4 linked regions of the Canis lupus familiaris genome follow. The protein of the gene in region 4 interacts with the protein of the main gene of each other region in a biochemical or structural test. Links are inferred from orthologs where the notes say so. Each region holds a gene or a part of one and is shown on either strand. Other genes may lie near its edges.

The links.
Region 1: of the proteins of DDX58 (region 4) and TRIM25, one has a biochemical effect on the other in vitro, tested with the Homo sapiens proteins (5 studies listed by BioGRID, with this or other methods). The link is inferred for Canis lupus familiaris from reciprocal best matches to the Homo sapiens genes RIGI and TRIM25.
Region 2: of the proteins of DDX58 (region 4) and RNF135, one has a biochemical effect on the other in vitro, tested with the Homo sapiens proteins (6 studies listed by BioGRID, with this or other methods). The link is inferred for Canis lupus familiaris from reciprocal best matches to the Homo sapiens genes RIGI and RNF135.
Region 3: of the proteins of DDX58 (region 4) and RNF125, one has a biochemical effect on the other in vitro, tested with the Homo sapiens proteins (3 studies listed by BioGRID and IntAct, with this or other methods). The link is inferred for Canis lupus familiaris from reciprocal best matches to the Homo sapiens genes RIGI and RNF125.

Annotation. Positions count from the first base shown.
Region 1 is NC_049230.1:31,670,398-31,678,038, forward strand, and holds part of TRIM25 (E3 ubiquitin/ISG15 ligase TRIM25), read right to left. Parts: intron 5,085-7,641; coding exon 4,913-5,084; intron 3,208-4,912; coding exon 3,142-3,207; intron 994-3,141; coding exon 967-993; intron 625-966; coding exon 535-624; intron 454-534; coding exon 355-453; intron 1-354.
Region 2 is NC_049230.1:40,775,590-40,783,781, forward strand, and holds the start of RNF135 (E3 ubiquitin-protein ligase RNF135), read right to left. Parts: upstream 5,052-8,192; 5' UTR 4,523-5,051; coding exon 4,247-4,522; intron 1,456-4,246; exon of another isoform or gene 1,441-1,455; coding exon of another isoform or gene 1,384-1,440; intron 1-1,383.
Region 3 is NC_049228.1:57,576,508-57,584,849, forward strand, and holds the start of RNF125 (E3 ubiquitin-protein ligase RNF125), read right to left. Parts: upstream 4,999-8,342; 5' UTR 4,891-4,998; coding exon 4,727-4,890; intron 1-4,726. UniProt on the Homo sapiens protein: E3 ubiquitin-protein ligase that mediates ubiquitination and subsequent proteasomal degradation of target proteins, such as RIGI, MAVS/IPS1, IFIH1/MDA5, JAK1 and p53/TP53.
Region 4 is NC_049232.1:50,010,011-50,017,651, forward strand, and holds part of DDX58 (antiviral innate immune response receptor RIG-I), read right to left. Parts: intron 6,993-7,641; coding exon 6,734-6,992; intron 4,616-6,733; coding exon 4,453-4,615; intron 2,599-4,452; coding exon 2,479-2,598; intron 1-2,478.

The sequences.
Region 1 (7,641 bases), on a different chromosome or scaffold from region 4:
ATGGCAGAGGAGTCAGGAGAAAACTGGAACCAAAGTACCGGCAGTGGGCCCCCAGCAATGCCTGAGGCACAGCAGGGGGACCCCAGAGAAAGCGGGGAGCTGGGTTCACGCAGGGCTAGGGGTTCAGAGCACTGTCTGTGGAATCTGTGCTGGCGAGAAGCTGGGGAGGGGGGAGGCAGGTGCTGGTGGGACGGAGCCAGTCAGGCTGCGGCAGAGTGTAGGATAGGCCAGTCGCCAGCAAGAAGGAGGGGGACCAAGCTGGACCTCCCGGCGGAGGCGAGGGCAAAGCCATGCACAGAGCCACCCAGAGCCTGAGAGCCAACAGCATCACACCTCAGAGCCAACACTACTCACACTCCAGGAGCTCGGGCCTGGACTTGAGTAAGAAGTTCTCCAGCACCTTGGCTTTGAGGGACACGACGTTTTGCTGCTCGGAGGTGGCTTTGGCTCCAGCTGGGTGAGGACACAGACAGCCATTTTCAGAACAAAGTCAGCGTGGGCACCCCGCACTGCCCCTTGCCCGCAATAACTCACTCTCCGGGCTTGCTTGTTTGAGGTCCAGTAACTGCTCTGGGGCTCCGAAGGTGGGCATCTTGACAGACGAGGCTGAGCCAGAGGCAGTGGCTGCGGATGAGGAAGAGAAACATGTCACTGAGGGATTAGATGGCCTGTCCTCCCTTCCACACTCATCTTCAAGAGCTACTTCCACAAACACACCTGGACAGCTGGCATGATACAGGTGAGCCCACCCAGGGCAACATTCACTATTCATCTCGCTCACATGTACTTGAGCTCACCCCCAACCTCAGGCCTCATCCCCACCCTGCCCCAAAGGAACGTAATCCCAGAACTCAGGCTCCATCCCGGAGCCCCAATGCCAGAGGACAGCCTTCGCGGCCTGCCAGCACTTAGCTCCACACGTGAGCAATTTCCAGAAACAAAAAGATGCACAGGTACATAACCTACCAGGTTTCTTGGTTTTCTTTTCTTCTTCTGAAAAAGAAAATTTTCAGAATGAAGATCTTTGCAAGCACAGCCCAATGACACCTTCAAAATCCCATGAGAACCATTTGCATGAATGTGATCCACACAGATACTTTCACTGGGAATATATTTCACTAGGATATTTTCATTGGATGCAAGCACACAAATCTATGATGACAGAAACATGCATCAGTGGTTTTGGGGGTTGGGACCGATAATGAGGAGCATGAAGGAATTTTCTGGGGTAATTCTCTAACTTGATTTGGGTAAGGTGACACACACATACACGTCTGTCAAAATTAACTGTGCTCTAATTAAATTATACCTCTGTAAAATAAAAATACAAAAGAAAACATACACCCAAAAAAGAAAAAAAGATGGAAAAAGGAGTCAGCAAAGAAAGGTGCTTGCCGAGTATCACAAGAGTCTTTAAAAACTGTCTGGAGAGGGACGCCTGGGTGGCTCGGTGGTTGAGCACCTGCCTTCAGCCCCAGGCACGATCCTGGAGTCCCGGGATCAAGTCCCACATCGGGCTCCCTACATGGAGCCTGCTTCTCCCTCTGCCTGTGTCTCTGCCTCTCTCTCTGTGTCTCTCATGAATAAGTAAATAAAATCTTTAAAATAAAAAAAAAAAACTATCTGGAGTAATCACCTATGAAAACTGAATTTTTTTTTAATTTTCTTTTTTCTTTTTTTTAATTTTACTCACTTATGATAGTCATACAGAGAGAGAGAGAGGCAGAGACACAGGCAGAGGGAGAAGCAGGCTCCATGCACCGGGAGCCCGATGTGGGATTTGATCCTGGGTCTCGAGGATCGTGCCCTGGGCCAAAGGCAGGCGCCAAACCGCTGTGCCACCCAGGGATCCCGAAAACTGAATTTAGCTAAAGCAAAGACTCTCAAAGAGTGCCCCTCCCCGCCCCCAGCAGCATCAGCACTGCTGGGGAATTGTAGGAAATGCAAACTCTTGGATCCCACCCATGACCCTGATGAATCTGAAAGTCTGCGGGTGGGGCCAAAGCGATCTGTGTTTTACAAGCCCCTGGTGAGTCTGAGACATATTCGAGTCTACTGGAGCTAGAGGATTTCGGGTTCCTTCTGTCACCTTCCCCACCCCTAGAATGAAAAGGGGTGTTTTGGCTCTTATCCCTGCCTGCCTGCAGGGTACTTCACGTGGTGGACATGCCCGGCTCTCTTCTATCATCCTCCACCTCCCTGCCAGCCCCCATTCAGCCCCATGTGACCCCCTGTGTCCCCCTTCCTCCCACTCCTGAGTCCTGTTTCCAGACGCTGTCTTCACACTGGCCCCATTTCCCTCTCTCCCGCCCACTCCCGCAGGACTGGCATCTCTGGAGGGCCCCCTCCCAGGTCATCGCAGTTGCTCCAAGTCCCGTCTATACTGTGACTGGTCCACTCCTTCCCTGCCCATTGCCCCATGGCAGCCCGTGGCCAGGATCCACAGCTCACTCCTGCCAGAGCGGCGCTGTGATCTGGGGCAGCAGCAAGAAATTCTGCCGGGGGCGGGGGTGGTGCTCTGAGAAGGACACAGGTACACAGCATTGGTTCTGCTATTTTTCCTTTTCCCTTGGTCACGCCAAGTGTCCTTCCACATCTGCCCGCTGAGCTGGGGGCTCCCCACTCCACCCACACCCGGCACCCGGGGCCCTGGCTCTATTCTGTTCTAATAGCACGTGCCTTCTCACCATGGCAGTGATATGCCCCCAAGCGGGCCAAAATGGATTTTTGGTAGAAGGTGAAAAAAATCTTATTCTTTATATGTATAAAAGCATAGTCTATAAATAGACATACTGCATATGCACGGTATTAAAATTTCATGGGGCAATTAGGGCCAAAACTTGGGTGTTGGCAAATATTTCTCAAGACAAGTGGGCTTTGGTAACCTTGCTGGCCCAGGCCACCTGCAGAGCCAGTGCTGATGGGCCAGTCCTGCTGAGCACCCCAGGGGAGCTCTCACCACAGCCCCTCCAGCTCCTGTTCAGTGGCCCGTGGCCAGATGCATCTCCAGAGGCACTTGCCCCCCTCCCCCAGCAATTTGGGCCAGGCTGGTGGGAGCAGCCATGCCTGTGAGGGTCTCGGCTGGAGCCCCGGCTGGCCACAGCCGTGCTGCGCCCCAGGAACAGCAGCAGAGTTACTTACTCGGGAGCTTTTTCGCAAAATGTATGGGTTTGTGCGTGGATGCTGAGCCATGCTCTCCAGGGTTCCCTGTGCCAAAGAAGAAGGCATTAGTTTATGCAGCTCCTCTGAAGGCACCCTCCGGGCCAGCTTGGCTAGGGCCGGGAGAAGAGAGGCTTTACAAAGGCAATTTCCAGTGACTTTCCCCATCCAATCATTTACAAGAGCTAGAAACAAGGTGACACGAAGACAAGTTTGTTGTGTCCTTCTCTGGCTTAAAATATAGCGGGGGTCAAGTGTTTTCTCTGCCAGTGCCCCACTCCATGACCTCTGAAGCCTCTCTGAGGTTCAATTTCTTCCAATGTCAACAGGGATGAGCCCCCTGCTTGTGGCAATGAGGCCAATAAGCCTGGTATGCAGTGCTAGTTCCTCCCCCTCCAGTTTTTCCATCAACCCTCCTCCCCCAGACTAGCAATCACTGATGTAGCAGGAAAATAAATATGCATGGCCAACTCATCCACAGTTTTACCCTCTATACAGAGTGTGCCACACCTGTCTCAGAGGCCCTTCTGCAAGGACACTCAGCTAGCCAAGCTGAAATGCAAGCCCACCCCCAGGGTTATCCACTAAGATTAACTGTGTGCAAGGCTCAGTGCCTGGCATAGGGGAGAGAGTATTGGATGAAAAACAGACTGAGCCCCGCCCTCACAGAAACTGCAATCTAGTGGGGGAAGAACAAAATGACAGAAAAGCAAACGCTGCCAAAGGAAGATAAGGATCCTGGGACCTAGTCTGAGGAGTGGGAGTGGTGGTGACAGGGAAGGTTTGCTGAGAAATACAATGTTTCACCCAATCTCTGAAAAGTGAGAGGAGTGAACTGGTGAGGATGGTGGAGTCTGAGCCTTCTAGGCAGTGGGAAGGGCATGTACAAAGGCCCTGTGGTAGGAAGTTTAGCATATGTGAGGAACTCAATGCAGAGACATGTGTGGGACAAGGGGGCACTTCAGGACTGGTGAAGTGGACAGGGCCTGACCAGGCAGGGTCCTGTAGAACACTGTCAAGAGCGTGGTCTGAAATCTAAAAGCAATGGAAACTCTCTTAACAGGGTGAGGGAAGAAAGTCCCAGGAGATCAGATTTGCATCCTAAAAAGCTCTCTGGCTGCAACAGGCCTGGATACGGAAGGATTATTTAGAAAGCTGCCACAGGTGGTGGCAAGAGAAAGCAGGCAGGTGGTAGCTGGCACTGAGGACTGAGTGGACTGAGTCAGGAGATATTTAAGAAGTAAAATCTTAAATAAAATCTTTAAAAAAAAAAAAAAAAAAAAGAGCAGCCCGGGTGGCCCAGCAGTTTAGTGCTGACTTCAGCCCAGGGCGTGATCCTGGAGAACCGGGATCAAGTCCCACGTCGGGCTCCCTGTATGGAGCCTGCTTCTCCCTCTGCCTGTGTCTCTGCCTCTCTCTCTGTGTCTCATGAATAAATAAATAAAATCTTTAGGGAAAAAAAAAAAAAAAAAGCCATCTGAGCAAGCCTCAAGATCACAGACAAAAAGAGCCTGTCCAGAAAGTCCCATTGTTAGCATCAAGGCCCCCAGAAATGTTTTAGGCAGGATGGCTACAACCCAGGATGTTTCCCCACCACCTCCCAGATGGAGGGAGGGGGCAGATGTCTCAGGACCCCTGAAATTCAAGCCCTTGTGCTCTGAATCAAGACCCTCTCCCCAACACCAAAACACTGAGGGGACCCAACCCATTTCAGGGGTCCCAGGAGGGGAGCATGGTGGTTGCTAATGGTTACCTGAGCTGGTGGGTTCCTCAGCCTTCTGGTCCTGGGACTGCCTGATATAGTGTTTCAGCCTCTCTTTGAGATTTGAGGTGCCCTGACAGATACCCTTTATCAGCTCCTGATTCAGGTCCACTTTGGGGACGTAGACTGGCTTTGTTGAGATTCCTTGCAGTTTTTTCGCTTTCTGAAACAAGCCAAGGAGTTAGTTCAGGCAGCTCCAAGGAAGCCAGGGCCCGAGCTCCGGCTTTATGAACATCACCAGAAGCTTCCCTATGCCCACATGTGCTCAGTCCAATCAGCCTTCTCAAATTACAGGCCAGAGGTTGCTGGGGGCTAATGTGTCACTTTTGGTCACAGCTCTCTGGATGGGGACAGGCCCTCAGAGACCAGTCACCTACCATGAGAGACACTAAAGTCCACAAACAACAAGTGTCCAAAAAAAAAAAAAAAAAGAAAAGAAAAGAAAAAGAAAAAAAAAAGAAAGAAAGAAAAGAAAAAGGAAATAACAAGCATCCTGCCAGGAACTCTGCCAATTAGTGGCAGGGACAAAGTTGGGACACAATCTGCTGAGCCCCATTGATAATGTTCCCCCCCTCCTCCAGCTGTGGCGGGCCAAGTAAGGAGGTGCAGGACCATGTCCGGCCCTTAAGGACCAGCTCTGAACACACGTTCTAAAACTGGACAGGGATGCCTTAGGGGGCCCAGGTTGGGCCAGGGCATATGCAGGGAAAAGGAAGGAATGTACCGAAGGTCCCAAACCTTGAGATAAAGTTGGGTCATACAACATGAAGAGGCTCTAGAGAGGGACTCAGAATCATTCTCAAAGAGCTGCAGGCAGCCACTCCAACAAACAGGAAGGAATACGGAGATGAAAATCAGTGGTGCCCAGCCCAGGCAGGGAGAAGAGGAGGTTCCCAGTCACTCCTGTACTCTCCCCAGGACCTAAACAAGGAATCTGGTCCTCTGAGGCTTTGTCACCCCATCGATGGGGCTCACCAGAACATGCGCTGCGTGCCAGGAGAAGGGGGCAGTGATGAGGGATGGGCTTCCCGAAGGAGCAGGCGGTCTGAACAGACATGACTACAAGCACATCTAAAAGCACGCCACCCAGTGCTAGGGCAGAGGCAGCGTGACCTGCTCCATCACCAGTAATGGCAGGATAACAAGATCTGAGGAAGATGGGGGGAAGCTGGGGTGGCCCTGTAAAAAAAAAACAGGATATACTAGGCAGAGGAAGTCGCCCTGGAGTTCCCCTCCAAAGCCCAGTGTGTCTGGGGAACGATGAATGCTGTGCGGTGCTTATAGCACAGAGCATGGGCTGGGGGCGGGTGGCAAGAGAGGAGGCTGCTGGCAAAGACAGGGTCTGGTCACTGAGGGCCTTTAGAAAGAGACCTCCAGGGTCCATGGGGAGGAGGGGCGGAGGCATATGCAGTAGGCAGCGCTCTAAGATGGCCCCCAAGATGCCCACCTGGCCTGGGGGTACATACCCCGTATAATCTGCTCCCCCCTCCCCATGCCCTGGAGTATGGGTGGGACAGTGAATACCGCAGGATATCACTCCTGTGGTTCAGTTACCAAGCATGGGAAAACTGAATGAATACTGCAGATGTAAAGAAGATCCCCAATCTGTTGGTTTTGAGTTCATCAGAAAGGTGAGTATCCTGGGTGGGCCTGATTTCACCAGGTCAGAGCCATTAAAAGGGATCAGGCTTATAAGAAAGAATGGAATCTTGCCGGGACGGGACGCCTGGGTGGCTCAGCCTTCAGATCAGGGTGTGATCCCGGAATCCAAGATCAAGTCCTGCATCAGGCTCCCCGCAGGGAGCCTGGTTCTCTCTCTGCCTGTGTCTCTGCCTCTCTCTCTCTGTGTGTCTCTTATGAATGAATAAATATTTTTTTAAAAAAAGAATGGAATCTTGCCATTTACGACGACATGGATGGAGCTAAAGAGTATCATGCTCAGCAAAATAAGTCAGAAAAAGACAAACACCATGATTTCTGTCATATGTGGCAATTTAAGAAACAAAAGAAGCAAAGGGTAAAGAATAGAGAGAGACACACACAAAGCCAAGAAACAGATTCTTAACTCTAGGAACTGGTGCTTACTGGAGGGGAGGGGGGTGCGGGGTTGGGGGAACAGGGGATGGGGGTTGGGAGTACACTTATCATGATGGGCACTGAGTAATGTAGAGAATTGTTGAATCTGAATCTGTTGAATCTGTTGTACACCTGAAACTAACATAACACCGTATGTTAACTATATACTGGAATTAAAATTTTTTTAAAAAGCGGGGGGGCACCTGGGTGGCTCAGTGGTTGAGCCAGATGCTTTTGGCTCAGGGTGGGATCCCAGGGTCCCGGGGATCATCAAGTCCCATCAGGTTGCCTGTGAGGAGCCTGCTTCTCCCTCTGCCTATGTCTCTGCCTCTCTCTGTGTGTGTCTCTCATGAATAAATAAAATTTTTTTTAAAAAGAGGGGTACCTGGTGGGCTCAGTGGTAGACCATGACTCTTGATCTCAGGGTCATGAGTTCAAGCCCCACATTGGGTGTGGAGCCTACTTTTAAAAAAGAGAGATAGAGAGAGGAGAGAGAAAGAGAAAGACCAATAACCTAAGGAGAAGAAAAAAGGGACCAGGCTTTCCTGGAGGGAGAAATTCTCTGCTGGCTTTGAAGAAGTAAGTAGCTGCCATGCCAGGTACCGGGAGGAGGACACTCGGCAAGGAGCTGCAGCGGCCTCTGG
Region 2 (8,192 bases), on a different chromosome or scaffold from region 4:
TTTATCCTAGAAATGTGAGGTGGTTCAACTTAAGAAAAACAACCAATATAATACATCACATTAATAGAATGAAGGAAACACACACACACACGATATACAATCATCTCAATCGATGCAGAAAAAGCATTTGACAAAATCTAACACCCTTTCATGATCAAAAAATATATATATACTGAGAAAACCAAGAATAGAAAAGAATTTCCTCAACATGATAAAGGGAATTTACGAAAAACCCACAACTAACATCATACTCCATGGTAGAAGACTAAAAGCTTCTAGTCAGGAACAAAACAAGCATGCCTGGTTTCAACTCTGCTACCAAACATTGTACAGGAAATTTAGGCAGAGCAATTAGACAAGAAATAAAAAGCATCCCAATTGGAAAAGAAGTACGATGATCTGTACTCACATAGGATATGACCATATAAATATTATCCTAAAGAATCCACAAGAGAGGATGGCCTGGGTGGCTCAGGTCATGATATCAGGGTCCTGGGATGGAGCCCCATGTTGGGCTCTCTGCTCAGCAAGGAGCCTACTTCTCCCTCTCCCTCTGCCTGCCACTCTGCCTACTTTTGCTCTCTTTCTGTCAAATACATTTTTAAAACTCTCTTAAAAAAAAAAAAAAGAATCCACAAGAAAGCTAGTAAATGAATTCAGCAAAATCACAGGGCACAAGATCATCTCCCAAAAAGAAGTGTGTTTTTATACACCTGCAGGGAATGATCCAAAAATGAAATTAAGGAAGCAATTCCATTTATAGTAGCATCTAAAGGAATAAAATACCTAGGAATAAATTTAACTAAGGAAATGAAAGGACTTATATTTTTGGAACCTACAGAACATCACTGAAAGATAGTTAAAAAGACCTAAATAAATGGAATAAATAAATGGAAATAATAAATAATAAATAAATGGAAAGACATTTCACATTTCTGGGAAGAAGACATAATATATTTTTTAAAGATTTTATTTATTTTTTCATGACAGAGAGAGAGAGAGAGAGAGAGAGAGAGACTGGCAGAGGGAGAAGCAGGCTCCATGCAGGGAGCCCGATGTGGGACTTGATCTGGGTTCTCCAGTATCAGGCCCTGGGCTGAAGGCAGCGCTAAACCGCTAGGTAACCAGGGCTGCCCCAAGAAGACATAATATTGTTTTGTTTTGTTTTGTTTTTTTAAGATTTTATTTATTCATGATAGACAGACAGACAGAGAGAGAGGCAGAGGGAGAAGCAGGCTCCATGCAGGGAGCCCGACGTGGGACTTGATCCCGGGTGTCCAGGATCACGCCCTGGGCCAAAGGCGGGTGCTAAACCGCTGCGCCACCCAGGGATCCCCAAGAAGACATAATATTGTTAAAGATGTCACACCCAAGGTAACCTACAGATTCAATCCACTCCCTCTCAAAATTCCAACAGCCTTCTTTGCAGAATGGTAACATCAATCTTCAAATTCATATGGAATTGCAGAGGCCCTGAAGAGCGAAAACAATCTTGAAAAAGAAGAACAGAGTAGGATGGACTTATGCTTTCTGATTTCAAACTTTACTACAAAGCTACAGTAATCAAAACAATGTGGTACTGACATAAGGATAGACCAAAAAAAATCAGTGGAATAGAATTAGGAGTCCAGAGATAAATCCATTCATCTAAGGCCAACTGATTTTTTTAAAAGATTTTATTTATTAATGAGAGACACAGAAAGATAGGCAGGCTCCCCATGGGGAGCACAGTATGGGACTAGATCCCAGGACCCTGGGATCAAGACCCGAGCTGAAGGCAGATGCTCAACCACTGAGCCACACAGGCGCCCCAAGAGTAATACTTGTACAGATGGTTTCAGGTGAAGGTACCCCCTAGCTGATTTTTTTATAAGGTGCTAACTCCACTCAATGGAGAAAAATAGTCTCTTCGACAGATAGTGCTGGGACAGCTAGATTTCCACATGTAAAAGAATAAAGTTGGACCCCTATCTCATGCACATAGAAACATTAACTCAAAATAGATCAGCAACCTAAATATATGACCTATTACCATAAAAATCTTAGGAGAAAATATGAGGGTAAATCTTCATGAACTCAGAATTCAGCAATGCATTTAGATATGACATGAGAAGAAGAAATAGATAAAACTTTTGTGTATCAAAGGACACCATCAAGAAAGTAAAATGACAACCCATAAGATGGGGGGGATATATTTGAAAGTGGTATTATCTGATAAGGGCTTAATATCCACAATTTATAAAGATTTCCTAAAACTCAACAAAAACAAAGAACCTAACTTTTAGGGACGCCTGGGTGGCTCAGCGATTGAGCGTCTGCCTTCAGCTCTGGGCATGATCCTGGGATCTGGGATCTGGGATTGAGTCCCACATCGGGCTCCTTGCAGGGAGCCCGCTTCTCTCTCTTCCTATGTCTCTGCCTCCGTGTCTCTCATAAATAAACAAATTAAATCTCTAAAAAAAAAAAGAACCTAACTTTTAAAACAATCAAAGGACCTGAATAAGCATTTCTCCAATGAAGATATATACATGAGCAATAAGCACAAGAAAAGAGGGGTGCCTGGGTGGCTCAGTCCCTTAAGAGTCTGCCTTTGGCTCAGGTCATGATCCCAGAGTCCTGGGATAGAGCCCCATATTGAGGCTCACTGATCAGCGGGGAGCCTGCTTCTCCCTCTGCCCCCTGCTAGTGCTCTCTCTTACTATCTCTCTCTCTTTCAAATAAATAAATAAATAAATAAATAAATAAACAAACAAACAAACAAACAAACAAACAAAATCTTTAAAAAACACATACACATGAGAAGATGTTCAGTCACCATCATCAATCGTCAGGGAAATGCAGACCAAACCCACAGTGAGAAAACGCTTCAATCCTAAATGGGAAAGCTATACTAAAAACAAAGTGGTGAGAAGGTGGAATGAAAATAAAACGAGAGAATAACAAGTACTGACAAGTATGTGGAAAATTCGGAAAAAAAAAAAAAAAGAAAAAAGAAAATTCGGCAACTCCTCCTTTGCTGGTGGAATGTAAAATGTTGTAGCTGCTGCAGAATTTACTGAAAAGAACTGAAAATAAGGACTTGGTTATTTGCACACCAATATTCACTGCATCATTACTCACAGTAACCAGCAGGTGGAAACAATCCAAACTTCCATTAGTGTATGAACAGATATTTGGTACATACATACAATGGAACATTACTCAGCCACAAAAAGGAATAAAATTCAGGTGCATGCTACAACATGAATGAACTCTGAAAACATGGTAGGTGGAAGAAGCCAGACACAAAGAGACAAATATTACACGACTCCACTGAGATGAAATACCTAGAGTAGGCAAGTCATGAAGACAGAACACAGATTAGAGGTTAAAAGAGGCTGCAGATAGGATGCCTGGGTGGCTCAGCGGTTTAGCGCCTGCCTTTGGCCCAGGGCGTGATCCTGGACCCCGGGATTGGGTCCCACGTCGGGCTCCCTGCATGGAGCCTCCTTCTCCTTCTGTCTCTCATAAATAAATAAAAATCTTTAAAAAAAAAGGGGGGGGGGGTGCTGCAGAGCGTTGGAATGAGAAGTTATTGCTTAAAGGGTGCAGAGTTTTTGTGGTGATGACCTTTTGGAAACAAACTAGTGATAGCTGCACATCACTGTGAATATAACTCATGCCACTAAATTATACACTTAAAAAAGTATGGAGGGACACCTAGGCGGCTTAATGGTTGAGCCTCTGCCTTCAGCTCAGGTCCTGATCCCGGGGTCCAGGGATCGAGTCCCACGTCAGGCTCCCTGCACGGAGCCTGCTTCTCCCTCTGCCTGTGTCTCTGCCTCTCTCTGTGTGTGTCTCATGGATAAATAAATAGAATCTTTAAAAGAAAAAAAAAAAAAAAAAGGTTGGTATGACTCTATGCTATATGTTACCCCAATAGAAGAATGTTAAAAGAGCCCACAGTCTGCAGACAGACTGGCCAAGAGTGGAAATGTGCCAAGGAGTAGATAGAGCACCCAGTCTGATTGGAAGTCAGGGACTGGGTTTTCCCCCGCGTGCTCACACTCATCCCCACTTCCCCAGGAGCGGGAGTGCTCGGAGCGAGAGCAGATCGCCAGGCAGGCAGGCGGCGGGGCGAAGGGCGCAAGCGCGGAGGCAGGGCACCCGGGAAGCGCGGTCGGCGGCGGGGGGCGCGGGGCGCGGGGCGGGGCGCGGGGCGGCGGGGGGCGCAGGTGCCCGCGGCGCCGGCCGGGCCCTCGCCTACCTCGCGCAGCGCGCGGCTGTACTTGTCCACCAGCTCCTGCAGCATCGTGTTCTTGCGCAGCTGCCGCGGCTCCGCGGCGCTCGCGCGGCAGGTGGGGCAGGAGCGCGGGGGCCCAGCGCAGCCGGCGGCCCACAGGCCCTTGAGGCAGTCGCGGCAGAAGCTGTGGCCGCAGGGCAGCGTGGCGGGCCAGGCGAGCAGCCCGTGACAGATGATGCAGCCCAGGTCGTCCTCGGCCAGCCACACGGGGACGGCCGGGCCGGGGTCCGGGCCCGCCATGGTGACGGGGCGCCCCACGGGACGCCTGGGCGCGGACGGCGCCTCCAGCTCCTCCCTCGGCCTTCCTCTCCCCGCCTCGGCCCAGCCTTTCTTCCTGTCTCCGGCGTCGGGGAGAGCGGCCTTTGCGCTTCCCCTCCCCGCACGCCGCGCCCCAGGGCGGAGCGGGCCGCAGTCACAGCTGCGCGGGATCTCAGCTCGCCCCAGCGCCGGGAGCACCCCGATGTCCCAAGGACCCGCGAGCCTGATGCCCTCCCTCTGCACACAGACCCCGGCCCATTAAAACGCGGTCCCGACAGCCCTCGAGAAGAAAGAGACGGTCCGGTTCCAGAACTTTTCTACGAGACTGCGCCCACTAGCTGTCATCCATCCCCTCCAACAAGTAGTAAAAGATTAAAGAAAACCCGGCGCAGGGCACTTGGGGGGCTCAGTGGTTGAGCCTCAGCCAGAGGGTGAGGTCCTCATCCCAGGGTCCAGCGATCCAGTCCTCATCAGGCTCCCCGGGGGTAGCCTGCTTCCCCCTGTGCCTATGTCTCGGCCTCTCTCTGTGTCTCTCATGAATCAATAAATAAAATCTTAAAAAAAAAAAATTCCCAGTGCACATAGCTCTTTTAAAAGAATGATGCTGGGGCTTCACTCCCAAAGAGTCTGATTTCATCCTCCGGGGTGGATCCCCGCACGGATATTCTTAAAAGCCTCCTCGAGATGATTCTAATATGCGGCCAAAGTTGAAGGACCCCTAGACGTTTCAAACCGACACTACGAAGCAGAACTATGCCACTGTCTCCGTGCTGCTCTCTGCTGGCTGAAAGCACATTACCCAACAGGCAACCGGACAAAAACACTAGGTCTGTTTTCTTGAGGTAGCAAGCCTGGCCTTGGTTGGGCTCGCTCGCTTCCTCCTCTCTCCTTATTCCAGTCCCAGACTCATCACAGCAGGAAAATGTTGGGGCTGGAAGGCCCCAAAGACGCAAAGGAACTTTCAGGTTTACACAGCATCCATTGAGTGGCAGAGACCAGAACCCCCATCTCTCTGATCTGTTGAAATGAACTAACAATATCTCATATTTTATTTCATCCCATCTTGCCTTGCCCCAAAGTAAGTACCAGATAATACAAATTTATGGCTATTTCCAATACTGGAAATGACAAGTAGTAGTCAATAGAACTACCTATTAGGCTACTCAGTGAAGTTTCCAGCTCTTTTCAGCACCTGGTAGGATTGGCACTTCTCTGACCCACTTGAAACATGCAGAATACTTGTCACCTTTCCACCAGCTTAAAAAAGCTAGTAAGTCATTGTATCCCTTTCTGCCAAATGCCCTGACTGTGGAGATGAAGCCATCATCTGGTGGCCTGGTGTCTGAGTGGTGAAGATGAGCAGACCCCCTGGGGACCCACACTGGAACCTGTAGTAAAAGAGAAAAATAAACTTAAGACATGTTAAGCTTATGGAGACTTAATGGGTGCTTGTGGCTACAGCATAATTTAGCCTATCCTGATTGATATGTTACCTGGATTTTGTTCTGAAGTCTCTTCATTGGTGGTAAACCCTATTTCTTCACACCTCTCTTTTCTGGAAATATAGACACAATACTAAAGACACATGCTCAAACTTTCCATCTTGAAAAATAAAATTTCCTTTGATAGAAGCATCCCTCTAGCCACCTCTCCTTCCCTTCTCTATTAGACACCCAAGTTTCTTGAAGGAGTGGATTAACCAGTGGTCTGCAAACTTTTTCTTGGACAATTCCTGAAAGTTTCATGCAAAAACATGCAGTGGTTACCAAAAAGAGGGTAGGGGTGGAAGTAGCCCTAGCTGTAAAAATACATTAACAAGTTCTTCATTTACATTGGAAAATTTCTCTTTGTTTCATCTTTTTGAATTTGTATTGCCATTCCATTTTCTCCAGAGAACTATATTCTTCCATTTCTATTTTTTGGAATAGTTTGAGAAGAAGAGATGTTCACTCTTCTTTAACTATTTGGTAAAATTCACCTGTGAAGTCATTTGATCCTAGTGATATAGGATAGATATTGGGGTTCAGAGCCAACAGCCAAGAAAGAATTCTTAAAACGCCTTCAGTGCAAAAAAGTGTTTTTATTTTTTAAAGATTTTTATTTATTTATTCATGAGATACATAGAGAGAGGATCACAACTTGAGCCAAAGGCAGATGTCCAACCACTGAGCCAGGATCACAACCTGAGCCAAAGGCAGATGTCCAACCACTGAGCCAGCCAGGGGCCCAAAAAAGTGTTTTTATTAAAGCACAGGGACAGGACCTGTGGGCAGAAAGAGCTGCACTGGGGTCATGAGGAGTGGCCCATTATATATCTCCAAGTTGGGAGGGGGTTAGGGAGAGCATAAGTCTCCAAAGAATTTTGGAAGCAAGGTTTCCAGGACTTTGAGGGGGCTAGCTATTGTTAGGAAAAGATCATTTATTACTGTCTGATGGGACGCCTGGGTGGCTCAGCAGTTAAACATCTGCCTTCGGCTCAGGGCGTGATCCCAGAATCCGGATCGAGCCCGAATTGGGCTCCTTGCAGGAAGCCTGCTTCTCCCTCTGCCTGTGACTCTACCTCTCTCTCTCTGTCTCTCATGAATGAATGAATGAATGAATGAATAAATAAATAAATAAATAAATAAACAAATAAATAAATAAATAAAATCTTTATTGCTGTCTAATAAAACCTTAGTCATGAGACCCTCCAGATGTATATTGGCGGATCATATGCTTGGCGGATGATTGCCAACACATATCTTGGGAGGATAAAGATAAAGGAAGTTTCCAAAGTAATTATTTATTTTTTTAAAAGATTTATTTATTTTAGACAGAGGGTGAGCATGAGCAGGAGGGGCAGAGGGAGAGGGAGAGAGAATCTCAGCAGACTCCATGCTGAGCACGGAGTGTGACTTGGCGCTCAATCCCAAAACTGTGAGATCACAACCTGAGCTGAACCCAAGAATTGGACGCTTAATTGACTACATCACTCAGATGCCCCTCAAAGGAATTTTTACATGTTAAAGTAGACTTACAGGATTCTGGAGTTGGGCTAAGATTGCCTTTTGCCCTTAGCAAAGCTCTAACATCGAGGCAGCTGAGTTCCTATAGGACTGTCATTCTGCCTGTTTCAAGGACTTGTCAATGGCCTATAAGTAGTAAAGACGTTTGATTTTTCTTTTGTCTTTGCTTCCCACATCACTGGAGTTTCATTTGTTGGGAGGGTTTTTGTTTTTTTTTTTTTTGTACTGATTCAGTTTCTTTGCTGGTTATGTCTGCTCAAATTTTCTATTTCTTCCTGTTTCAGTTTTGGTAGTTTATATGTTTCTAGGAATTTATCCATTTCTTCTTAGTTGTCCAATTCCACAGAACGATATTCTAAAGCAATCTATTTTATGCATGAAAGTCTTTTATCACTTTGTAATCACTTTTATCAACTTGTAATAATTCTCTGCAATAGAAATATGCATATTTATTGAAATTTTAAGTCTGTTTTACTTCCTATAACAAAAAGGCTCATTAAATTTTTCTTCTGGGGGATCCCCAGGTGGTTCAGCGGTTTAGTGCCTGCCTTTGGCCTGGGGCGTGATCCTGGAGTCCTGAGATGGAGTCCCACATCAGGCTCCCTGCATGGAGCCTCCTTCTCCCTCTGCCTGTGTCTCTGCCTCTC
Region 3 (8,342 bases), on a different chromosome or scaffold from region 4:
GGATATTTGCTTGATCAATAAATGAAAGCATTCCATGCAAAAGCAGATCTAACCAAACAACTCATAATAAACCAAAATAAAAATGATGAAGAAAATGAACAATGATTTTATTTTAAAGAAAACTGTGTGGATTCCTACTGTCTGCTTGAGCAGCATGTAGGTGTGTACATGGTTGCCTGACAGCCAGATTTTTTAGTAGAATGCTGAACGGTCTATAGTAAAGCCTGACAATGATCTAATTTTTGTTTTTGATACCAGATTTTAATAACCCTTAAAAACTCAGTTGATAGGTGTGATGGTTAGTTTTATGTGTCAACTTGGATAGGCTATAGTACTCAGTTATCTAATCAAACACTTACCTAGGTGTTGCTGTGCAGGTATTTTGCAGAAGTAGTTAACATCTATAATCAGTTGACTTTAAGGAAGCGATTATCCTCAATGATGTGAAGAAATTCCTTAAAATCAGTCTTTTTACACACACACACACACACACACACTATTGGTTGTTTCTCAGAAGAACCCTCACTAGTAGATAATATACAAGGAGATAATAAATATCTGTAATAATCAATAAGGCAAATAGCTTTAATCTTATGTTAAAGAAGAATTCTTTGGGATTGCACAACTCCTGTAGGAATGAAATGGGCAGCAAAATGGCTGAAAGGGGGTCAAAAGGTATGAACTTTCAGTTAAAAATAAATAAATCACAAGGCTCTAATGTACAACATGGTGGCTACAGTTAACACTATATGTATAGTACTGTAGTATATATTTAAAAGTTGCTAAGACAATAGATCTTTTTGTTTTTCCAAGATTTTATTTCTTTTTGATAAAAAGAGAGCACAAGCAGGGGGAGTGGCAGGCAGAGGGAGAGGGAGAAGTAGGCACTGTTGAGCAAGGAGCCAGATGCAGGCCTTGATCCCAGGATCCCAGGACCATGACCTGAACCAAAGGCAGATGCTTAACCAACTGAGCCACCCAGGTGCCCCAAAACAATAGATCTTAAAAAGTTGTAAGAAAAAGCTGTGTAACTATGTACGCTGACAGATGTTAACTAGACTCTTCATGGTGTTTGTTTTCCAATTTATATAAAGATTGAATCATTATGTTGAACACCTGAAACTAACATATGTCAATTACACCTTAATAAAAAATTTAAAATATATTTAAATATTTAAATAATTTTTAAAATGTAAATATAATAAAATATATTAAATGTTAAAAAAAAAGTGAAAGCACTGATGTATATTTCTGGGTCAGTTTAAAACTCATCAGGAAACTCTCAGAGAACCACTAATTTGATGCAGGCTGTACCATTCATACTTGACCACAAATGGAAAGTTTTAATTCACTTACCTGAAAGCACTTCAGAATTATCCTCAACAGTTCCATTTTCAAAATTAGGCAAATTCTGTGATTTGGAACTATTTAACCCAACTCAGTTCGATGAAGATGTAGCTCTTTGTGCCTTCTAGCATGCTCCAGTCTGTACCTCCTAGTTCTGTTAGATCTATTCTCCACTTCTTGATTCTTTTAGATAACTCCCTTAGCTCTGGCTCTGACCTTTCCCCAAACCCGTTCTCCCAGTACCTTTGGGATATTTCCCTTTGGATATCTCCCTATCAGACTACTGTATACTTGACAAGCCCCATTACAAGTTCACTACATTACCTCTGGAGCTGAACTCTGCCCCCCTTTATCTCTGTCACCTGTTAGGGAGTTGCCTTCCACCCTTTCTCCCCCCTTTATCTGTCATACGCAACTGGTCAACAAATTTCTTTAAAAATACTTATTTTAAATATAAATCAGATTCTGATTCCCTTTCAGTTTCATTCACACAGCTTCAACTTATCTACTCCTCACCCCCATAACAGAAGATAAGGCAGAGGTGGGAAGCCTTTCCCCCAAAAGCTGTTTTAACAACTGATACAGACGTATGAGCAATGTCGATTTGAAATGACAGCACATTAAAATAGAATATCTTAAATTAAAGGCCACCAAAGGAAAAAGAACTCAGCTAAAAGGAAGATAATCTGCGACATCTTAGAAATGTCATAGATCTATCTTTTGTGGCCCAGTTTTATTCCAAAAGAAATACAGATAAGAAATAATACCCATTCCTGGGTTTTTGCTTTGTGGAATGTCTTTAAGGGAGATAGAAATTAAGTGTTGAGGCTTTATGATGGGCCACTTTTACATTTTTAAAATACTCATAAAAATTCCATTATTCACCCTATTGTACAAATGAAGAAGCAGTCAAAGAGATAGCCCCATGGTGGTCACACAACCAGTCAGTGGCAGGGCTGAATTTCAAATACTGCTCTCTCTCAGTCCCACTGTTTCTACAATTTATAGAGTGCTATATACATACTCATTCAATGTATTTTTGTCATTATTAAGTACTTGATTGACTCGAAATAGGTTTATGAGCAGAAATCAGCATAAACCAACGAGTTCAACAAGTTTGGAAATTAGCTTCAATAGGAGATAACATACAGAGATTTCATTTGCATTTCTCCATTTTCCAATTTAGGGTCAATGGAGGAGAGTAAATTTATTTAGGAAGTACACAAATGGTGTTAACAGCACTCACCATTCCCAGTGGAGAAGGAACTCTAGTTAACATTTATAAAGTGGAAGGGGCCCAAGTAAATTTGCCAAAAGGAGGAATATGGAAATTCTGCCCACAGCCAGAACAATGGACATAGATTTGTCAAAACAAAGAACAGTAAAGTGAGGGAAGGCAATTCATCCAGCCCTTGTGCTACTTCATGACTATTTTTTCCAGTTGCTGGTTTCCTATTCAAACTCTAACAAAGAAAAAGATTAAACAAAAGATTTAACTTTTTACACATTTACATTATCCTTTAGCAGAAGCAAAAACACTACAAACAGTAAGTTATGGCATTCAAAATCCAAACCAGGTGGGATCCCTGGGTGGCTCAGTGATTTAGCGCCTCCCTTGGGCCCGGGCGTGATCCTGGAGTCTGGGATCCAGTTCCACTTCGAGTCCCACACTGGGCTCCTTGCATGGAGCCTGCTTCTCCCTCTGCCTGTGTCTCTGCCTCTCTCTGTGTCTCTCGTGAATAAATAAGTAAAATATTTTTAAAAAATCCAAACCAGGGAAAACAATCCTCAATCAGATAACAACCTCCAATATCAAAGTCATCCAATTCAGTTCTACAGAAGGAACTTTCAAGACTCGATGCCCGCTGCGCATTCCTGGTGCAACTTTAAAGTTTTAATGCACAGCCTAAATTTACCCATAGCTACCCGGGGATGATTACTGTCCCAACTAATCAATATATTATACTGTTACACGATGCTATCTCGGCTTCCATCTTGGCCTTGGGATTTCATATCATGAGCTACATCTGGACAGCTGGGAAACAACATCAGTAATCAGTCTGGAGGCCAATTAGGCTTGAGTTTAAAGTACAACGCTGAAACAACAGGCCTTGAAAACACAGCCACAAAATAATGCCCAGGGCACTCTTTATTTAAACACTATGTGGGCTGCATTTTTCCTTCTTGGCTCACCACCGAGGTTTTCATGGTGCTTCTCAGTCACTAGTCTATAGGTGTCAAGAACCATCTAAGTCTTTTTGAAAACATTTTGTGCACTTGCATTTATAATATGGGTTTTTCCCCCCTTGCTAAGCCAGAAGCACTTACTAGCCATTGCGGTATTGCCCTGGCGCTTCATCAAACTCTAGTCAGCCAAAGAAGACATTAAGTGGGCTTCCGTTCTCACTCTGTGCAACTCCCCGCACCCCACCCACCCCCAACAGGCACACACTCACTCACACACCCAGGCAGCCACGGAAAGCAAGCTTCTGCGGAAACAGAACACGAAACCACAGGTCCAACTCCCATCACTAGTGGCCCCAGCACACATTAAGGACGGGCCAATTTTATATAGGGATTTTGTTTTCAAACTCTTTTTAGAAACGACTAATTTTTATCTCTGCTTTCCATCGATTTTAGGGAAGCGCCGCGTGAGGCAGGGAGTCTGCAAACTCCTGTCACTCTGTGGTTAGATTTTAAAGGGCTACACTCAAGGGCCTGGCGCTAAGGTTCTCAGGTCCCGGCCCCACCCCGACAGGCACTTAAAGTCTAAGGGCTACGAGGTCACTCCGCCTGTTGAGCTGATCTTTGAAGGGCCTGAGTGTGTGCATTAGGATGGGGAGGGGGAGGTGGAGGTGGAAGGACAGTTTGCACGGATCTTTGTTTGCTCAAGAGGCTGCCCCAGTGGGCGTCCTGGAACACGTGCAGGGCCAGCAAAACAAAACCGACCTGCGGGGCGGCGGGGGGTGGGGAGGGGGCAGCACCTCCCGATTGATTGAGCTCGGCGGGGTGATTGCTCTGCAGAAGCCCACTGCCCTGTGTCCAAGCGGGTGCCGGCCGTCCAGCCAAGGGCACCCTCCCCAGCTGACGGCCCCGGCCCCCGGCGGCTCCTGCGCCTGGGCACCCGGTCTGGGGCTCCGCACCTGGGCTTGGGGCAAGCAGCGCCTCGGGGCCTGGCGGGGAGGCGCCGCGGCGCCCGCCTGTTTCTGTTTTCGCCTCCTGCATGCCTGTGTCACCTTCCGACAGGTCGCCTTCCCCGCGGCCCGGGCTCGCCGGGTCCGGGTGTGTCCCCCGCAGGAGCTCCGTTCCCACGCGCGGGCTCCCCCGGCCTCGCCCTCCCCAGAAGCGGGCGCGCAAGCCGAGCTCCCCCCGCACTCACACGTGGCCGCAGCGGGTCCGGACGGGCTGGTGCAGCACCTCGAGGCACACGGAGCAGTCGAAGGACGTGACGGGCAGCTCGGGGTCCCCGCTGCGCTCCAGGGCCCGGGGGGCGGCCGAGGCGGGGGCGGCTTTGGCGCTGTCGCTGCTCAGCACGGAGCCCATCGCGGCGCCTCTCGCCCAGACAGCGGCCGGCAGCTCCGCGCCCGCGGCCGGGTTGTTTTGCTGTCCTGCGGCAGAGGAAGGAAGTCCCGGCCCAGCGGCGACCGCCGCCTCCCCGCGCGCCCGGCGACAGCAGCCCGGCGGCGGCCGCGGCCCGGCGCCCCACCTCCGTCCAGGGCCGACGAGCGCGCGGCCGCGGCCGACACAAGGAGGCGGGGGCGGCCGCACGGTGCGCGCTGCCACGGCCCGGCTCCTGCGAGGGCTGAAACCTGAAACCTCCCCCGCAGGGCCCGGAGCGGCGGGGCGGCCGGCGGGCTGTCGCGCGCGTCCGTACCGCGTTCTGGCGAGCTCCGGAGAGGGTGGAGCCGGCCCCGCCGGCCGCGACGCAGGGGCCCCGCGGGAGGTGATGCTCGCGTCCGCCCTGCGCGGCTGCGACCCCAGCGCGCCCCGGCCGCGGGCTGGCACCGAGCGGCTCCCGAGACCGCGCCCCCCTGCGCTCGGGCCGCAGTCGGCGCCCCACGGGGGGAGGGCTAGCACGCGGCGTGCAAAAGGTTCTGAGACCCGGGTTCGGATCCCAACTCACGACGATAAGGGTTCTAGTGCTATAAATTCTACTGCCTCAGTTTCCTGGGCGCAGGGTGTCCCGCTGTTGCCCCTACTCCCTGCCCCTCCCTCTTTTAGCCATGACCAAATACATCATTTAATGAGCCATACCTGGGCGCCTGGGAGGCCCAGTCGGTTAAGCATCTGCCTTCTGCTTGGCCATGATCTCCGGGTCCTCGGATCAAGCCCCACCGCGGACTCCCTGCTGCTTCTCTCTCTGCCTCCTCTGCCCTTTCCCCTCTGCTTGTGCACTCTCTCTCTCTCTCTCTCTCTCTCTCTCAAATAATAAATAAAATATTATTTTTAAAAAAGCCACACATTTAATAAGACTTCTTTAGTGCCCACTGCATAGCAGACTTTGTTCTGGTGATGGGAACACAATTCTGACCAGGAGACAAAATCCCCGTTCCCACAGAACTTATTTTAAAAAAACAAAACCAAAAATGTTGACTTTGGTTGAGATAATTACAGATTCACATGCTTATCATTTTCTTAATATCTTTTTTTTTAAGATTTCATTCATTTATTCATAAGACACACACAGAGAGAGAGAGGCAGAGACACAGGCAGAGGGAGAAGCAGGCTCCAGGCAGGGAGCCCGACGTGGGACTCGATCCCCGGTCTCTCCAGGATCAGGCCCTGGGCTGAAGGCGGCGCAAAACCGCTGAGCAACCAGGGCTGCCCCAACATGCTTATCATTTATTTATAAATAACACCTAGTAATATATGATCCACACAACCCATCACACAACAATACATGTAATACATAGTAATCCCATAAACTTAACCCAGTTTCCCCCCGACTTTGCTTTTAATAAGAAGATGTAAGTAATCAACGAGTAAATGAGCAAGATCATTTCAGATGATAAGAACCATGGAAAAGGCAAGACAGGGACTGACCATAGGAGTGGGGAGGGTAAGAGGGTCCGAGAAGACTTTTGGGATGAGGCAACATCTGAGCAGTCATAAATAATGAAAGGGAGTCAGCCATTCAAAGATGCAGGAAAAAGCTTGCTAAGCACTGGGACCAGTGAGTGTGCAAGGAACAAAGAACAGAAAGAGACTCTCTTTGGAGACAGAACAAGGGGAACCAGCAGGGTAGCACAGGGTGCCTTAAATAGGAGAAGGGCCTGATTCTATTTGATCTCATAGGCCAGTTTGGATTTTACTTCAAAACCATGATTTCATGTATTATGACTGTTCACTGTTTTCAAAAAGACAAGAACAAAAGAGGAATGGAAGCAGAGAAACCACTTGGAGAGGACTGAGCCCAAGTGAGGATGACGGCTCAAACCAAGGAGTTATCTGGGTCGAAGGTGAGATGGACAGATTTGGGATACATTTAAGAGAAAGACCCAAAGGGGCTTTTGCAAATGAATTGGATATAGAGGTGAAGGAAAGATAGCCATCTCTATCTTTAAAGATTTTATTTACTTATTTGAGAGAGAAGGAAAGTGCATGTGTGAGTGGGGGACGGCGGTGCCCCTGTTTTTCTTTTAAAGATAGGGATGGTGGGAGCCTAGGTGGCTCAGTCGGTCAAGCGTCCAACTCTTGGTGTTGGCTCAGGTCATGATCTCAGGCTCATGAGTCCAAGCCCTGCATTGGGCTTCATGCTGGGCATGGAGCCTGCTTAAGATTCTCTTCCCTCTGCCCCTCCCCCCACACTCACATGTGCACATGTTCACATGCGGTCTCTTGCTCTATAAAATAAATAAATAAAATCCTTAAAAAAAGAAAACAAAAAACAAACTCAGCTCCTGCCCATGTCCTCTTAAAGGCCAGATTTCTTGACCTGCTTCTCTGCCATCTATGTCTCCGTTTCTTAATTATGCTCTCTTTATCCAGTCCAACCTGGGTTCTGAATTGACCAATCCACTTCCATCTGACTAAAAGTTGCTTCATCACCCCTGTTTATCAGTGACCTTCATGTGGCTAAATCCGATAGAATCTTTTTAAGTCTTTTTCTTCCTTGACCTCTCAACTGCATTTGTTGGTATTGAGCACTCCCTCCTTGTAAAAATTCTTTGGCATTCCCTCTTTCTTTCTGGCAATTCTTCTCTGTCTCCTTCACTGGCCTCTTCTTCGTTATGGAGAAGCTAAGTTCTGGAGGTCCTAGGATTCTGTCTTAGGACATTTTCTCATCCCTTGTTCCCTCCCTAAAAATCTGAAAACTTATATAGATTCTGTTACCATCTTGATTCCAAAGACTTCTAAGTCTTTATCTCTACTCTGGGCCACTCAAATGCCCAACTGCTTACTTGACATAACCACCTGGTTGCTTCAGGCACCTTCATTTCAACATTATAGTTGAATGTTATAGTAATCTCCCACCTGTTCTACTTCCTCCAGGTGTTTATCCTACTCTTAGTAAATGGCGCTACAGTCTAGCTGGTAGCTCAATCCAGATGCCTGGAAGCCATCTTGATTTCTTCCCCTTCCTTATTCACATTGAATTGAAAACAATCATAATCACAATTCTGCCTCCAGTGTATTTTCAGTAATTCTTGGATAGATTCATTTTTCTCTATTCCAATGGTCACCACATATTTTAAACCATTACATTCTTTCTGTGACTTGTAATAGTTTCTATCTGCTATACTTGCTTCCACTCTTGCTATTGTCCAATCTATTATCAACACTGTAAATCTTTTGAAAAGCAAAATTCACCCCATGCTTAAAGCTTTTAATGGATCCCCATAACCCTTAGAATTAAATTCCAGATCTTTGATATGATCTACAATGTCTTGTGTGATCCTTCTCTTTCAATACATATAATCAGTTAGGATGCCTTCGGTCATAGGGAAGTTCAATTAAATCTGCCTTAATCATAAGGATATTTATTATCGGGGCAC
Region 4 (7,641 bases):
AAGGAGGTTATTCAAATTGCATTGACATGCTTCTTTCCCAACCCCAACTACAAACAAAGTAGCCAGCAGTAAACTAGATGAATTAACAAGTATTTCTTGAATGTGAATAGGTATGAAAATGACCTAAGCAATCTGGAAATGAACAGTTCACAGGATGTGTACTGGGGAAAAGGTGGAGGTAGGGAGTTAGAAGTGGGAGGAATAAGAAGGTAGAAATTCATATCCCTCTACCCTTCTGCTATCTTCCCAGTTCAGACCATGTTCTAATGTTCGTGAATAAAATAACGACCTCCTAACTGGTCTCCCTACTTTTTGCCTTATTCCCTCTAATCCACTCCACTCAGCAGCTAGAGAGAATTTCTAAATTTGCAGAGGAAACACTTCGCTACCCCACTACTTAAAAGCCTTTAGTGGAATCCTCTGGCCAAAATCCTACCCGGCTCCCAGGACCCTCTGTGATCTAACCTCTGCCTGCTTCTGATTCTCATCTCTAGCTGCTCCACTTCCGGCATCTGTCAGAACTAACAGAAGTCCTCATACTCTCTCCACTTTCCTGGCCTTTGCACATGTTTTTCCTTCCGCCTGAAACACCACCCACCTACCCCTATGCTGTTGCTTTATTATTACTTTAGCTTTATTATTACTTATCTAATTTTGGCTTTACCATTGGACTGGAAATATCACAGGGAAGGAGTTATGTCTCAGTCTCAGGGTCCATGCTATGTTCCCATCACCTGGCATATTGCTCAGCACCAAGTAAATGACAAGTGAATGAATACGTTCAAGGTACTGCTAAATCAAAGGATTCAAGCAGGGAAGGAGTAGAAGGTAAAACTGGAAAGATGAGTAGAACCAGATTGTGCAGGCCGGGGTCACACTGGCAGGTTAGAGGCTTAGAGAGCTTTGCTTAAAAGGCAGAGAGGTTCAAGCAGGATCCTGACATGATAAAACTGGTATTTCAGAAAGACAGGGGCAGCCCAGGTGGCTCAGCGGTTTAGCACTGCCTTCAGCCCAGGGCCTGATCCAGGAGACCAGGAATCAAGTCCCATGTCAGGCTCCCTGCATGGAGCCTGCTTCTCCCTCTGCCTGTGTCTCTGCCTCTCTCTCTCTCTCTCTCTCTCTCTCTCTCTCTCTCTCTCTCTCTCTGTCTCTCATGAATAAATAAATAAAATCTTTAAAAAGAAAGAAAGACCACCCAGGTAATGGGAGGCTGATTGGAAAAGTGAGTGGGGGTAGGGGTGGGTGAAACAGCCAGACAGCTGTTACAGTAAGTCCTAAATCAAGCTTTGGAAGAAGAGGAGAAAAAAAAAAGCAAAATAAATGTGAGTAAAGGTGAATTCACAAATTAAGCATCTCCAACACTGCTCCTAGTTCTGGAACCAGCACTACTCACTGGTATACCTACAAGGGTACATGCCAGAAGCTTGGTGGAGATCACCCCTACTCCCAACTCAGAACCAGAAGCCATGAAATTGGAAAGCTTCCTGCTTGCAACACTTGCTCAGCACATGCCTCCTCCCTCCACCAGCCTGTCTTGACTGCCTCTGTTTGACTCTCTTTGTTCACTGGTATCTTTATCACATCACAAATCAGTTTAAAATCTTTGGATGCTTCCCCCTGCTTTTAGGACAAAGTCAAACCCAGTTTGGCTACCAGGCCTTTCCTGGTCTTGCCCCTGCCTCTCTCTTTAGCGTCACTCCTTTCTACCACTCGTGCATTAGGAGTACCATGAAATGGTTGCAGTTCCTAAAATTTTTTCTTCCTTTAAAGCCTTAATGCCTTTTCAACCTCACTTGGTTATCTTTCCTTCTTAATTTGGCTGACTTTCAAGACTGTTTCAGGCATCATCCCACCCCAAAACGCTTTCCCAAAGGCCCATTCCAGGTCAAAGTTCCCACGTGCTCCCAGGGCACACAGGTGTCCCTCTGCCCTGCCATGTGGAAGCTACTCACATCTGACTCTCATTATTTAGCTGTGAGTTCCCTGAGGATGGGACTATGTCTTTAACCTTGTTATTTCCATTAGCTGGCACAATGAATATCTGGTGAATGAATGAAAGAACAAAAGAGAGAAGAATAGAACTTGGTAACTTCATGAGAGAGTCTCAAAAGAAGAAAGAATCAAAGATCACCACCTATTTCAATCTGAGCCATCAAGGAAATGGTGGTTTCTTTCATATAAAGGGGGAAATCAGAACAGAAAACTAATCTGGAAAATTAAGAAAGCCATGAACTGATTTAAACATGGTATTTTTCGGCTATGTGTATCCACATAGATTTACTGTGGATTTAAAAAGAAAAAAGAAAAAAAAAAACAAGGACTAAAGGAGGACATAATGAGGAGGTTCCCGAATAACCTATAATCAAGAAGTTAACCTCTTGATATGGTCTTAAGACTGTCTGAACTAAAGAGATGCAAAAAGAGAACACTATATGGCTATTCCTAAGTGGAGAGAACATAAAATGAGATTTATCTCACCGAGAGTTATGGTACCGAGTTCATCAAAGATATTCTTTGCCAGACTCTCTGTCTCCCTCATCAGCTGAGAAATGATGCATTTAAATCTGTCAGTAGTCCGTGATTCCACTTTCCTGAAAACTAGAGCCATGAAAACAAAGTGAGCATTTTTTAGGAACACATCATAGTTCAAAGTAGGCATCTGCACACGTTTCTCTGCCTGTTACCTCCTCTGCAAGATCTGAGGCTCACGGGGAGATTGTCTAAAGGATATATCAAATGTTCAGAAACTTGGCAATAGCTCCCTGGTGCTTACTGCACAGATCCTAATATCTCTGTCTTTCATGATCTGGGTCTAATCCAACTTTTTATTCTGCTTTTCCTGTTACTCAACATGGAGCCTCTACTCTGACAAGGCTGGTATCCATCTTATCTCTGCAAATACAACACATTTTAACCCTCTCTTCTTTGATTTTCTCCTTTCCCACTCAACCCCCTGAAGTGCTCACACTTCCTAAAATTCAGTACTATATTATTTTGGCAGAAACTTATTAACTGCCTACCACGTGCCATGTTCTGGAGATCAACAGTTGAAAAGTACACAGCCTGTGCTCACAGAAGACTGTATCCTCAGGGCAGAGAAAGATACATAGCCAAATAATCACAGTGAAGTGCTGTAACATTAAGTATATGAAAGGTGTCATGGAGCACAAGGAAAAGAATCTCTTATTCTTTCAAGGGAGGAAATGTTGTGGGATAAATAGGGGAAGAGGAGTGGAGGAAACACTGATACTCCTGAGGAACCAGAGGTATGCAACATGGTTGGACTTATGGGAGGGGGAGATGAAGCACAGAGGGCAGAAGGGACTTGAGGGGCACCTGGGTGGCTCAGTGGTTGAGCATCTGCCTTTGGCTCAGATTGTGATCCTGGGGTCCTGGGATCGAGTCCTGCAGGCAGGAGCCTGCTTCTCCCTCTGCCTATGTCTCTGCCTCTCTCTCTCTCTCTGTGTCTTCTCATGAATAAATAAATTAAAAATCTTAAAAAAAAAAAAAAAGAAATTTGTACTTGATACTGAAAAGTTTAGATTGGGTACCTTCCTTAACCTCTTTACAGGAAGCTCCCAGAAAGGAACTGAACTGCCTCTCCTTGGCTATTTCATGTGTTTTTGTTCTGCTTTATACAGTCATACACTATCCCCAGAGCAAGGATGAAGGCATATATGTCTACTCTCCCACTTTCCCCTGCTGGGTTAGTATAGCATTGGAATTTATTAAATATTTGCTAGTCAATCTTTTTAAAAAAAATCATATTCTAAAAAAAAATCATATTCTGATCTGCTGAGAAAAAATATGATGAACTAAGAATAATTTCATTTCAACCCAAATCATCAGATACATATTCATTTTTTTAAAGGTTTTTTTATGTATTTATTCATGAGAGACACAGAAAGAGAGAGGCAGAGACACAGGCAGAGGGAGAAGCAGGTTCCATGCAGGGAGCCCAATGTAGGACTCGATCCCAGGACTCCAGGATCACACCCTGGGCCAAAGGCAGGCGCTAAACCGCTGAGCCACCCAGGGATCCCCAGATACATATTCAAATAATGAATGGCCACACAGTATCCTTCCTCCTTAGGAATGCAACACAGGGAAGGACTGAGACCAGCTCTTGGCCATTTATGTGATTTGATTTTCTCATCACGTCTCTCTTGCTGTCAGTATCCTTATAAGAACTTTATCAAAAACAAAAAAAGAACTGAATCAAACTGAAGAGTAAGAATGTTTGCTTTTGACAGTCCACTCCTGAGGTTCACCCACTGATGAAGAGCTCAGCTGAGAAGAGAGGCATGAAATGTAATTATTTCCCAAATTTGGGGTTAAATATTTTCTACTAAACAGAAAAAGTAAAAATTCAGTATTCATTCAAATGGCTCCGAACTAAGAAAAGCAGAGGGTAACAAAGTCCTGAAGGGCTTGTTACTGGATTCCACTTACACTTCTGGGGCTTATAAACAATTTCTTCCAATTCCTCCAAGTTGTCTTTGACTGTTGCTATCACTGATGTGTCAAGAGAAGCACACAGTTTGCAGATATATTCCATGGCTTCCATTGTGTTTTTGGCATCCCCGATGCCAACTGAGGCAGTCAGCCCAACAACCTATGAGGAGCATTACAAATTGTCAGACATCTGGAAAACAGCATGCCATTTCCACAATCCCCCATGCAACCCTTTCCTGCTAAAGTAGGGTTTTGGTTTTTTATTTGTTTGTTTCTTACTAATTTCTTTTTTTTAATATTTTATTTATTTATTTATTCATGAGAGAGGGAGAGGCAGAGACACAGGCAGAGGGAGAAGCAGGCTCCATGCAGGAATCCTGGGGTCCTGGGATCCGGGACCCCAGGATCACATCTTGGGCTGAAGGCAGGTGTTAAACCGCTGAGCAGGGATCCGCCTTACTAGTTTCATATAAAGCACAAGAACACTATTTTTTCCCCTGATGTTCTCTAAGATATTTCAAATGGAAATTCCCCAGGCAAAGCAGTGAATAATGCAGGCAAAGCAGTGAATAAATGCAGGAGTCACAAGTTTTCAAATGAACATGAATTAGCTAAAAAACCAAGAGCAGAAACACTCTCAAGGCAGGACTTTTCTCTATTCCTGTGTCCCCCATGATGTGTAGAACAACATACTATAAGAACAGGGACTAAAATCAGACACAACTTCATTCTAAACTCAACCATGCCACACCGGTGGTGGATCATTGGACAAGTATCTTCAGCTCTCTCTCTTTTTTTTTTTTTTTTGGTGCTAAAACCCGGGATCGAACTTCAGCTCTCTTTAAGGCTGGGAAACAATAGCCATTTAAAATGGTAGGTGTGTGAATTTCATAAGGTAACATTTGTAAAAAAAATTAGCTTAATGGTCACCTAACAATTTATGCCTTACTCAAATAGCCACTCAGTAAATACTGAATAGTTGACTCATTAGCAAGGAATCTAATTAACCAGCATTTTTTTCTAGAAGAAACTGTAAGATATGTGCTTGCTATGGAATTTTGTCTATGGGTACCATACGAATTTCTTCTAACCTATGTTTCCTACACAGGTAGTTATTAGGGCTAGAGAACTTTACCCATTGTGATATTGGTATATTAACTATAAAGTCATGGTTTCCAACTTCATCTGGATCCCCAATATGACCAAGCAATTCTTCTATATATTCCTCTTGATTCTCTCATTTCAAATCCTCTCCATGTACTCTGAGCTCCCTCCCCATTCCCATCCTGATTATTCTCAGCAAAGCATCTACCTCTCATTTAAAAGAGATATTAAATACCAGGGATTCCCTACCTTTCCTGTCCCCAACTCAGAACTACCCTCTCATCTTTACTCTTCTCACACCCTCACCTCTGATGACGCCCAAAATGCTCTCCTGTACTAATGAACATACCTGCCTACTTATCCCATACCCTCTGATCTCTCCTAGAATCTTGTTCTATCGATCATTCCCTCTATTCCACTCTGCCTCACCTACTGCTATTTACCATTTCACATTCCACACTCAAATGATACTGAAGAGCTTCAGGGCTCTTGGGCACAACATGTTCTCTCATACCTCTGTGCCTCCAGACACACAGTAGCCTTTCCTGAAAACCATCCAACTATCCACCTTATACATTCTTGTTAGTTTTTGCCTAACTTCTGTTGGGTCTTGGCTCACTTTCATAGCACACTTACGAGTTTTCACTTCTCTTCTGACTATACCTTGTATCATGTCCATAGTATGCCATCACCATATATTGTGACATAATTCTTACATGTCTGGTTCCCCATGAAACTTAAATTGTTTGAGGTATATGTCTTTTATATATGTAGCCCCAGTGCCTAGCACAGTGGATAACACAAAGGGGCACCTAATGCATATTTGTTAAGTAAATAAATGAATGAACAAGTCAAAACTAATCAATGAGGGACACCTAGGTGGCTCAGCAGTTGAGCGTCTGCCTTTGGCTCAGGGCATGATCCTAGGTCCAGGATCAAGTCCCACATTGGGCTCCTTGCGAGGAACCTCCTTCTCCCTCTGTCCATGTCTTTGCCTATGTCTCTCATGGATAAGTAAATAAAATCTTTAAAAAAATGAAAAAATTAATCAATGAGCTAGATGATATGGACTTAGGACCTGAGAAGACTATCCTCAATGTGGTCAGTAGGGTAAGAAAATAAGATTTAAAAAGGTTATGGCTCTTCTGAGGAATCCATCTGATTCTGGAGATACCTGAGGCAGTGGGTCTGAAGATCCTCCAAGTTTCTGATCTAGATAATTAAACATGATCATATTGTAAGGATGGTGTTTACTGGTGTTGTGACATTCATCAAATATCATCAAAGTAAAGACAGAGAGTGATGGAATAGTCCCATTTCTAAGGCAATTCACAAGAATCTGTGGAGTTAAAACGATGATGTCATTGTTCTCAACGATCTGTTCCACTGAGATATTCTCAGATGTTGCTCCAGAAATACCTGCAACTTTGTACCTGGGGAATGACAGAAATTCACTATTACCAACCATGATGTGAATGAGGAGTCACAAAGACATAAAACACTAAGTCAGAGCATCAACTAATTGAGTTCTTCCTAACTCCAAAAGGAATATATCTGGAGACAAGTGCTTAGCATGGAGCTATAAACATAGTAAATGGTTGATAAATGCAAGCTAGCTATAACTGCTAGTAGAGTATGCTAATTCCTTCAAGTCTTAAGAAAAAGTAGTAGGGGCGCCTTGGTGGCTCAGTCAGTTAAGTGTCTGCCTTCAGCTCAGGTCATGATGAGGTCCTGGGATCAAGCCCCATGTCAGGCTCTCTGCTCAGCAGGAAGCCTGCTTCTCACTCTCCCTCTGCCTGCCACTCCCCCTGTTGATACTCTCTGTCAAATAAATAAATAAAATCTTAAAAAAAATAAAGAAAATAGTATTTAAAGAAAAGAGTAATATTAAGGAAGTTATAAAATCATTAAAAAGTTAAATGTGGGGGCGCCCGGGTGGCTCAGAAAGTTAACCATCTGCCTTTGGCTCAGGTCATGATCCCAGGGTCCTGGGATTGAGCCTGGCGTTGGGCTCCCTGCTCGGTGGGGAGTCTGCTTCTCCCTCTCCCTCAGCCTGCCACTCTGCCTACTTGTGCTCTGTCA